2 linked regions of the Nothobranchius furzeri genome follow. The protein of the gene in region 1 interacts with the protein of each later gene in a pairwise test. Links are inferred from orthologs where the notes say so. Each region holds a gene or a part of one and is shown on either strand. Other genes may lie near its edges.

Region 1 (4,829 bases):
CTTTGGACATTTAAGATCTTTGGAAACTGTATTTAAGGATTATTTGTCATTTTTAAGGATTTTTAAGGCCTTAAATTTGGAAATGCAAATTTAAGACTTTTTAACGACCCGCAGATACCCTGTTTTAAGCCAGCGTATCATGCAGCCGTCTTTCTCCACCATCTGAAACGCCCGGTAGTCACAGATTAAAAATGGCTGTCCCACTGACTTCACTGTCCAACTTGAGACATGTCCACACTGAAAAGATTAGAGCTCTCCTGAGACGACATGTTAGCTCTGAATTAGCCTTCTAGTTAAACAGAAACACGTTACGGGGTCTGCCGTAAATTGTGTGTCGTTACCGAGTTGTTTTCATCCACCTAACAATGAATAATGTAGTGGAACTTGTTAAAATTAAAACCAAACCTCTGTTATGTTTGAAAAACTATATTCCAGGATGAATTTAAAGGGTAGCGTTTGATACACTAGCTTTTACGTTTCCATTAAATAATCAGTGTTATCTCCACATCTCATTACCCTGAGGGGTGATGTGTGTGCCGCTGCTCTGCGTGGTCAGGTGATTCTCCAGCTCTTCTATCTGCTGCCGGTACTGCTGCAGCTGCACCTCAAACTGGTCAACCAAGCCACGGAAATAACTAAACACAAGATCACAACAGCCGATTGTAGGTCACTGATATTTGCATTTGATTTGCCTCGACGCTGCTGCTCGATGACTTACTCTGACGGAGCAGTGTTTTCATGCTGAAGGCCAGGAGGTGTCTTCTGGGTGCGCAGAGCTATGTCTGCATTTTTCAGCTCCTTATAAAAGAATTTGAAGAACGTTAAGTTTTGTCGGAAGAGTAATTTATGTATAAAAGGTACAAGGAAGAGCTGCAACCTTTCGAAATTGGAACATTTGAGAGAATGTGTCATTTGAGTTATTTTATGTTTGATACCTGAGCTGTCTCCAACTTGAGTTTGTCTATAGCCAGAGCCTGGCGCTGCAGTCCGCTGGCACAGACAGAAAGCAGCTGTTTGAGGCTTTTGATGTCATCCTGAACCTTAGAAATGGACTTTGAGGACATCCTACTGATGTCTTCCTGAACCTGCTTTTGCTCTTTTACAAATTTTCTGCAAATAAGGGAGAAAGATGCAGAAAGGAACTCTCTTTCAGGTGATAAAAAGAAAAACTCAGCATGTACACAGTGCAGTAACAAAATGTAATACTTACTGAAAATTGTCTACATCTTGACAAATACATGTGGGCAGATTCTCATCTTTTAGAGCTTTGCTGTCCCTGAGGAGGAGAATGAGACACGTTTCTTCACGCCATCATACAGGAGACAGATCATTACTGATGAGGTAAATGACCACAAGACAGGAAACCAACGTTGTCTTGGACATTTTTAGAATTCAAACGTTAGTTTTACTATTTCAAAGGCCTCACGAATAAAGCCACATACTGAGCATTGGTTCCAGATAATGCATCGCTCTTGTTCTCGGAGAGGGTGCTGAAGTCAACCCCACCCAGGCCAATGCTTGGAGAAGGAGCAGCTGGTACTGCTGTGGAGGTGGCCAGCAAAGAACCCAAGGCTCCTCCTCCAAGAGTAGTCTGGCCCAGCCCTGAAACACAAAGTAGAAAAAGAGGTTTGAACAAATCTTCGGATCTTTCAGAGATTTTGGATTTGCTAAATTGATTGTTATATATAGATTGTACACGTGCTGCACCGTGACAGTGTAAGTTAACTTATTTTCATTTTAACCTGAGGCTCCAGTGCTGGAGAAAAGTCCAGTGCCCAGTGATGGCACTGTTGAGGCTGCTGAGGCGGTTGTGATGCCACCGAGACCAAGGCTGAAGCCAGTGGCTGAGGGCTGCTGTGGTGCTGTGGATGTCAGGACGGAGCCAAATGATAAACCTGCTCCCACTGTCGAGGAACTGGTGCTGGTGGTGAGGGAAAAGGGTGTCGCTGAGGCAGTGGGCTTGTTGAAGGCTAAACTAAAGCCAGTGGTAGCAGCTGTTGTAGCTGGAATGCCTGAAAGAAAGTGTGTGTGAAATTAAACGTAGAAACTTTCCCACTTACTCCAAAACACACTCTGAAAGCTAGCATACCTATTGCGAGGCCTGTGGTGGGCGCAGAAGCACCTGTAAGATAAGATCCCAACAGAAAAGTTAAGACACACAGAACGACTTAAGCTTTAAACAAATGTGTTAATGCATCATTACTTGAAGCTGGCGTATTGAAAGAGAATCCTCCAGCAGGTTTCTGGCCAAAGATGCTGCCTCCCAGTCCGAGAGAAGCAGTGGTGGAGGTGGCAGTGGTTGGAGCAGGGGCTGCAGCTGCTGTTCCCAGAACAGTCCCAAAGGAAAAGCCGCTCGTATTGGCTGCAGGGGCACTTAAGACAGAAAGGATGATCATTTCACACTTTTTCAATAACAAAGCTGCACTTAAAAAATGTATAATCCGTCCATTTGAATTACGTTAAACCACAGTACTTCATAAATGTGTTTACACAAACAAATAATGCCAAACTGCTGTAAGCAACCTGGGCAAAATGGAAAAAGTAGATATCCTGACATTCCAGCACATCACCCAAAAACGTATTAAACCGGAGGTTTTATTGAAATTAAACTTTATGATTCTTAAGTAACAATAAGTGTTTCACGTGCGAATCACAAACTTATTGAAACGCGTTCTTTATTAAGACAGTGGAAGCAATGTGGGGATACTGGAATTAGTTTAACATTTCAATAACCCAATTATGTTATTAAATAATGCAGTGTAACGTTTGCGTGAAGGAACAAACCCCTAAAAGGCAGTGCATTTAAACATTACAAGCAACCACCTCTGTGAGCTATGTTGAAAAACAAGGATTGTAAAAAATGGCACACGATTAAAGTTATGCTATGCTAACTTTAGCCAGAACGGCTAACTAAAAATACCTGGTAACGGCTCCAAATGAAAATCCTCCACCCGTGTTGGTAGCTCCAAGCGTTCCCGATCCAAAGTTAAAGCCAGACATTTTCTCCTAACAGCTACACAAGCACTACCAAACAATTTGAACTTCAAATACTAATGAAATTCATTTGCAAGCTTAGCACACCATCACGTCAGTTAGCTTTTCATGGCCGCGTGAGGGCCAAGATCCGCGCTCTAGCATTTGTTTAAAACATAACTGATCAAAAATGTTTTATATTCCCAATAAGTGAGATCACACTGCAGCCTTGTGGCGATTTACAATCTATTAAATAAGCCTGGTATGTTAAAAAAAATTCTCAAAACTACTTTTCGCATGGCTCTTCTTTTCCTATTACCCGCCTGGTATTTTTGTGCTAGTGCATCTTGGGTAATAATTTATCTAAACTACATTTCCCAGATTTTACACAGCTCCTGTGACGTTAACGCATGCGCACACTTCTAATTTGGACTAAAAAGTCGTTCATAAAGTACAAACTAAATCCGGATGTGCTTTCAAAATAAAACCCCTTGCTTAAACAAAATTTACTTAAAATTACGTGACTTTAAAGGGCGTATTTTAAACAACATTTCAAGATTCGAATTCGATCATTTAAAAAAATTTTAATTAGAAAATAGAATCACATCATTTATTGTCATTCCGTGTGGTAATTTAGGTGTGAAATCTCAGCACGTCACAACACAGTGCCAGTTAAAAGTTTAATCAACTCAACATATGTGTGTATATCATAATATTGATGTCGATTGTGTATATTTACTAAAAAAAACTATATGTCACGAAAGGCGGTTTTAACCATGGGTTTAACCGAAGCCCTGGTGTTTTAAACACAAAATGCGCTTTATTTTGAAAACACTTCACGTGCAGCGTTGCCGTGATAGTAATTAACTTCACGCTAACAAAAGAGTGAAATAATTGACAATAAACTCATAACGTATAACAGCGAAAAGTCAAGGCGACACCTCTGCAGTCTTAACCATTTTTAAATCAATGATACACTTGTCATCTTAGCGCGTCGTGTGAGCCCTTTGCGTCGCTGACAGGTCTCGATTCGGAGAAATGGAACACATCCGAACGCCGAAGGTAGCTAACATTTTTTTTTGCTAATTTTTGCAAATGGATGGGATGAATAAGCTTATTGGGCCTTGTCTTTTTGGTATGTTTTCTGTGATTCAGTGTTGCTATGTAATGTTAGCCAGATGTGTTGGCTAGCAGGTGTCGCTAGAATCAGACGTGACGAGCATCTGTTTGCTAGTTTTTTCCCCTCGCTCAACAGACAGCACGGCTTTCACTCAATAACCCTACAACTTTCACACCCAGTTATTGAACTAGTTTAAGCATTTTAGTGATTAATAGAAAACTCGGCTGCATCTGGAGTTATAGTAACACATGATAGGCCTATTTAACAGAGATGGTAAAATCAGGGTGATCTGCACTATGAAAATACTCCTCAGATCAAAAATAGGATCATCTGCTTATTTATTTTAACATTTCAAGTATCAGATGAACTTTTATGGGAAATACGTGACTTTTAAGTTCATAAAAACCCATAAAAAGGTTAAGTTATGTAGGTGCTGCAGCACAGGTTTGACTATGACAGACCTACCCAACTGAAAACACAGGATTTGTGACGGTTTATGAGGTTTTGATCATACATTAAATAATAAGATAAGCATCCAAAGATCCAAAATGACTTTTCAGTTTGAGGTTTAGATGAATTTTTGCATTTTCCAGTCAAACACTGGTGAATAATTTCTTCTGTGTGTCCAAAAAGGTGTGGGTCTTGTAACATGTTTCACCATGCCAAGCAACCTGATGCATACTCTGTGTTTTATTCCTTTTGGTTAAAATTGGGACACGAATATTTGACAATAACT
Region 2 (4,137 bases), on another chromosome or scaffold:
CTTCCCCCTGGAGCTGGAGCTACTCCTGCTCGCCATCGCCACCTACTGGACAGCTCGCAGCCTGTTTGTTTAGAGAAATTTCCTAAACAAAGAGTAATTAAGCTCCTCTGTTAAATGACTGTGAAGTTGGGATTGAGGAAAACACAGGTCAGACGAAACTAAATCAAAGCCTCATTTTGAAGCTAAAATTAGAAACAACTAAAAAGAAGATGTTGGATGTCAGTAAGTATAGATGTATTTTTTTGTTTTGTTTATATATATATATATATATATATAAAATTACTTAAAAATGTGAAATGGTCAGACTGAGATGACATGGCTGGACCGATGAGGTAATGTCTGATAAAAGTGTCTGCCCACTACAGAAGGATGGGTTTACCAGAACCACGCTGATGTCATCCTTACTCTGGTACAACCTGTGCATTCAGAAAGCTCGGAGATCAACACAACACAACTCAGGACCGTTACGCCTGCCGAAAATGGATTAGCTTACAAGACAGAGCTCTGGCTTGCTGTAGGCATTTTAATGTTCACACAGAAACAAACATTTTAATAAGAATAATTGTTCAAGATTTAAACTAAAGATTAAGATAATGTCAACAAAAGCCTTAAATTAGAGACAATCTGCTCATTTTACTTGGCGTTTTACCTCCTGGCAAGACCACCTGAGAGACAAAGGAAAGTAGCGGCAGTAATTTACCTCTGTCAGCTGCTGTTCAACAACGCCCCTGTACTCCAGAGTGACTGGCTGCTCTTTGGCGCCCTCTGCTGCCAACATCTGGCTTGCAGAACCAAGCACATAGCTGGAAAAGAGACACAGAACAGTTACAGCTCCTAGTAGGCTCGTAATGTGTAGTTTATTCATTTTCTCTTCGTTTACTTTCTGTTTCATTTAGTTTTTGTTTGTGTTGTTTAAAGTTTGTTCTTATTTTATGCATCTGAAGCATCTGGATGTGATGAACCACTGCTGGTTTAAAGGAAGCCTAACCTCCAGACCACACTGTGCTTTTAGCCGTCCTAGACAGACCTGTTACCGTGCACAGACTCGTGACAAATAACGGTGAACTTGAAGGTGATTTGCAAGTCTGTGGCCGTCCAGTGTGACAGGTGTTCCGTCAGAGCAGCATACATGTCAGAGGAGCATGCATGCAGTTTATGCGCGCATTCATTTAAACCTCCGCCACATTCTGAGGAGCCACCAGTTCAGCATACAGACGGCTAAGTACAAGGAAATCGTTTGTTGATTGTGTTCATAATGTTTTACCATCCACATAGATGAACTGATGAATGTGTATCACTATTTATTTATTTATTTTACCACCTTCTAATTCTATAAAATTTTGAGAAAATAAAGCTTTACAAAGTCTTCAGTTGACGAGTCAGGGTGCCATACACAGTTGTTTAAGTGTATGATGTTCTGACTGGCCCATCATACAGCTTAAAAAGTGAACGATGATCTGACAGCGTACGCGTGCTATCAGACAGGCATAAGCTGTAACACTCATGTGTCAATCTAACAATGTCCGGTGATTGGACAGAACACCGGCTCAGCGACAGCTTATTGGGCAACCTCAGAACAAAAGTCGGTCTTCAAGCATTGCGTGAAATCCTGACTCCCGCCTGCAATCGACCGATGAAAAAACACTCAGGAACCGACACGAGCAACTAGCGACGAGAGTACAATGCAAGAGTAGAATTAGCAACACTAGCAACAGGAGAAGCTACACGCAGGAACATGTGGACAACTCCTTTTTAGAGTTTGGAGTCTAATAAAAGACGTGTTAATGGTGGCGCTTTTTTCTCTTTTCAGAATTGTTGTTTGGTTAGATGTCGGCTTTTAGTGACGTATGCTTTTCGGGGGTTTGCTTGTGACGTTAGCGCATCCTGCTAGAGTGAGTGTGCCACCTTCATGGAGTCCCCACAGCGTAACATGAGTGGTCCTGTGTGACAACAAAAAATAACTTGGACAGTAGGTACGCCCGTCTATGTCCAGTCCACGGGTCCCAAACTGCCAAAATATGAATAGCAGTCAGTGGACCTGTGAAAGTTAGTTTCTGATATCCGTTAGAAACGTACCATTAATTTCGCATTAGGGTTGGGCGATTTGTATAATTTTTCCCACCGCCAATCGTCAGTCCAAAAAAAAAAGACGATGGAAGATTTATTCGCGCATGTGACGTCGTGACGCACGAACTAATTTGCGAACGCAGAAGAAGCCCAAAACATTGATTCTTTTACACAAACGTGTGTTTGCAGGAAGAGAAATTCTTATTTAATTTTGTATTTGTAGTTTGGTAGAGTGACGTATAAACGGCTCGTATTAAACATGACTAAAATGTTAAAAAGAAGCCTCGCCTTCGTTTCCCTGTGGTGCCCACTGTTGTGGTTTTTACTGAAGCAAAATGTTTCTTTCTGAACAAAAACTTCTGGGGTTATTTCTTTTATAAGTAGGGGATGGGATGACTCGCTGCTGCGTTTGGACGCACTCTGGGGAGGCAGCGTTTGCTCGCTGCCAGAGGTCACATGATCCATTTATCCTTGTCACTTTCATTTTTAAATGATGAATAATCATTCTTTAAATTTCCATTCATTTTAATTAATATTTAGTCCAACCAAGCTGGTCAGAATGCCCCTGCAGCATGAACAATGCAATTAAACAATTTCACTTAAATTAGGAACATTTAATAATAATAATAATAATGCATTGAACTTATATAGCGCTTTTCAAGACACCCAAAGACACTCTCACATTCACACACTGCTAGTGATGGTAAGCTACTTGTAGCCACAGCCGCCCTGGGGAGGTCTGACAGAGGCGAGGCTGCCATTTGGCGCCGTCGGCCCCTCTGACCACCACTAACACAGGCAAGTTGGGTGAAGTGTCTTGCCCAAGGACACAGCAGCAGGATACCCCTGGCAGGAGCTGGAATCGAGCCCATGACCCTCCGATCATGAGGCAACCCGCTCTACCACCTGAGCTACTGCAGCGGCTTGAACGCACGTTCCTCCTGCGCCGCGTGAACCTGAACTGGTCACCTGCAGCTTGTGTGTCATCAAATGTCTCTATGGAGTTTGCTGAGGAGGTTATGAGCTTCTAGACGTTTGCCTCAGACAGACTCGTGGCTGTTTAAATAATGTTCTGGATGGATCCGTGCTCTGCTGACGCACTCAAAGCAAGTGCTGAATAACACGACGAGCGCTACTTCAGCCAAAGTTTTAAATCAGGAAACGTTTCTCCAAATGGAATAACCAGAAGTCTTCCAGACTCAGACGCTCTCCAAACCCCTCCTCAGCGAGCCGCTTGTGCGTGCACTGTCAGCAGCCAGATGGGGAAGGGATCAGATGCGCTGATGGAGATCTTTTCTTGATTGTTACCTCTGCGATGTTCTCTGTGCGTAACGTGTAAAATATTTGTCAATAACAAACAAACAAATAAATAAACACATCGCTTCCTGTAAAAAAAAAACAACCGTAACGGCTCAGCCCGTCGCAGACGGTCGATTCATTCGTCCCATTGCCCAACCTTATTTCACATACGGTGTCTGAATTTTAAAAACATGTTTAGATGCCAAGAAAGCTCTTTCTTTTTTTGACAGGCGGGCAAAAGTTACTTTAGGACGTGTAGTGGACTCCAACTGCTCGTCTCACCAAATGTAGGTCATCAGACCAGACAAGGAGATGAAAATGTTTGAGTTTAGCGAGCTTCGCATTCTTCAGTCAGGATGAAAGAAGGTGGAGAAAACCACTCTGAATCTGGTCATGCGGTAAGTAGCGGTTATGCTAGGGGAAGAGAGATTCTAACAGCATTTTTGGTTCTTTTTAAAACACAGAAAAGTTTTTTTTTGTTTGTTTTTACCTTGCTGACAGTTTCGTTTGCGGACTTTTCTGTGTTTTAAAAAGAACCAAAAATGCAGTTAGAAACCAGACACAGCAAGAACATCCCAAAGACGTGAGAAGGGATTCTGCTGTGACATCATATATGCAACGTCTGTTTTGTAGTCATTTAATTAGGAAGCAAATAAATCTCAAATTACGCAACAGACAATCGCATTTATCATTTCAATTCAATTACAACATATATAGGTGTAAGGCAAGACGGACCAGAAAATAGCTTTTATAGCCCTGTTCATCCATACT

The links. The genes of interacting proteins can lie anywhere in the genome.
Region 2: the proteins of nup58 (region 1) and mis18a interact in binary tests that used the Homo sapiens proteins (3 or more experiments, as listed by UniProt). The link is inferred for Nothobranchius furzeri from reciprocal best matches to the Homo sapiens genes NUP58 and MIS18A.

The regions. Positions count from the first base shown.
Region 1 is NC_091747.1:56,986,330-56,991,158, reverse strand, and holds the start of nup58 (nucleoporin p58/p45), read right to left. Parts: upstream 3,220-4,829; 5' UTR 3,001-3,219; coding exon 2,921-3,000; intron 2,374-2,920; coding exon 2,204-2,373; intron 2,123-2,203; coding exon 2,090-2,122; intron 2,013-2,089; coding exon 1,743-2,012; intron 1,603-1,742; coding exon 1,443-1,602; intron 1,277-1,442; coding exon 1,211-1,276; intron 1,111-1,210; coding exon 936-1,110; intron 799-935; coding exon 719-798; intron 636-718; coding exon 517-635; intron 1-516. Other genes in the region: mtmr6 (myotubularin-related protein 6), read left to right, coding at 4,012-4,035. UniProt on the Homo sapiens protein: Component of the nuclear pore complex, a complex required for the trafficking across the nuclear membrane.
Region 2 is NC_091750.1:63,493,471-63,497,607, reverse strand, and holds part of mis18a (protein Mis18-alpha), read right to left. Parts: intron 804-4,137; coding exon 701-803; intron 1-700. UniProt on the Homo sapiens protein: Required for recruitment of CENPA to centromeres and normal chromosome segregation during mitosis.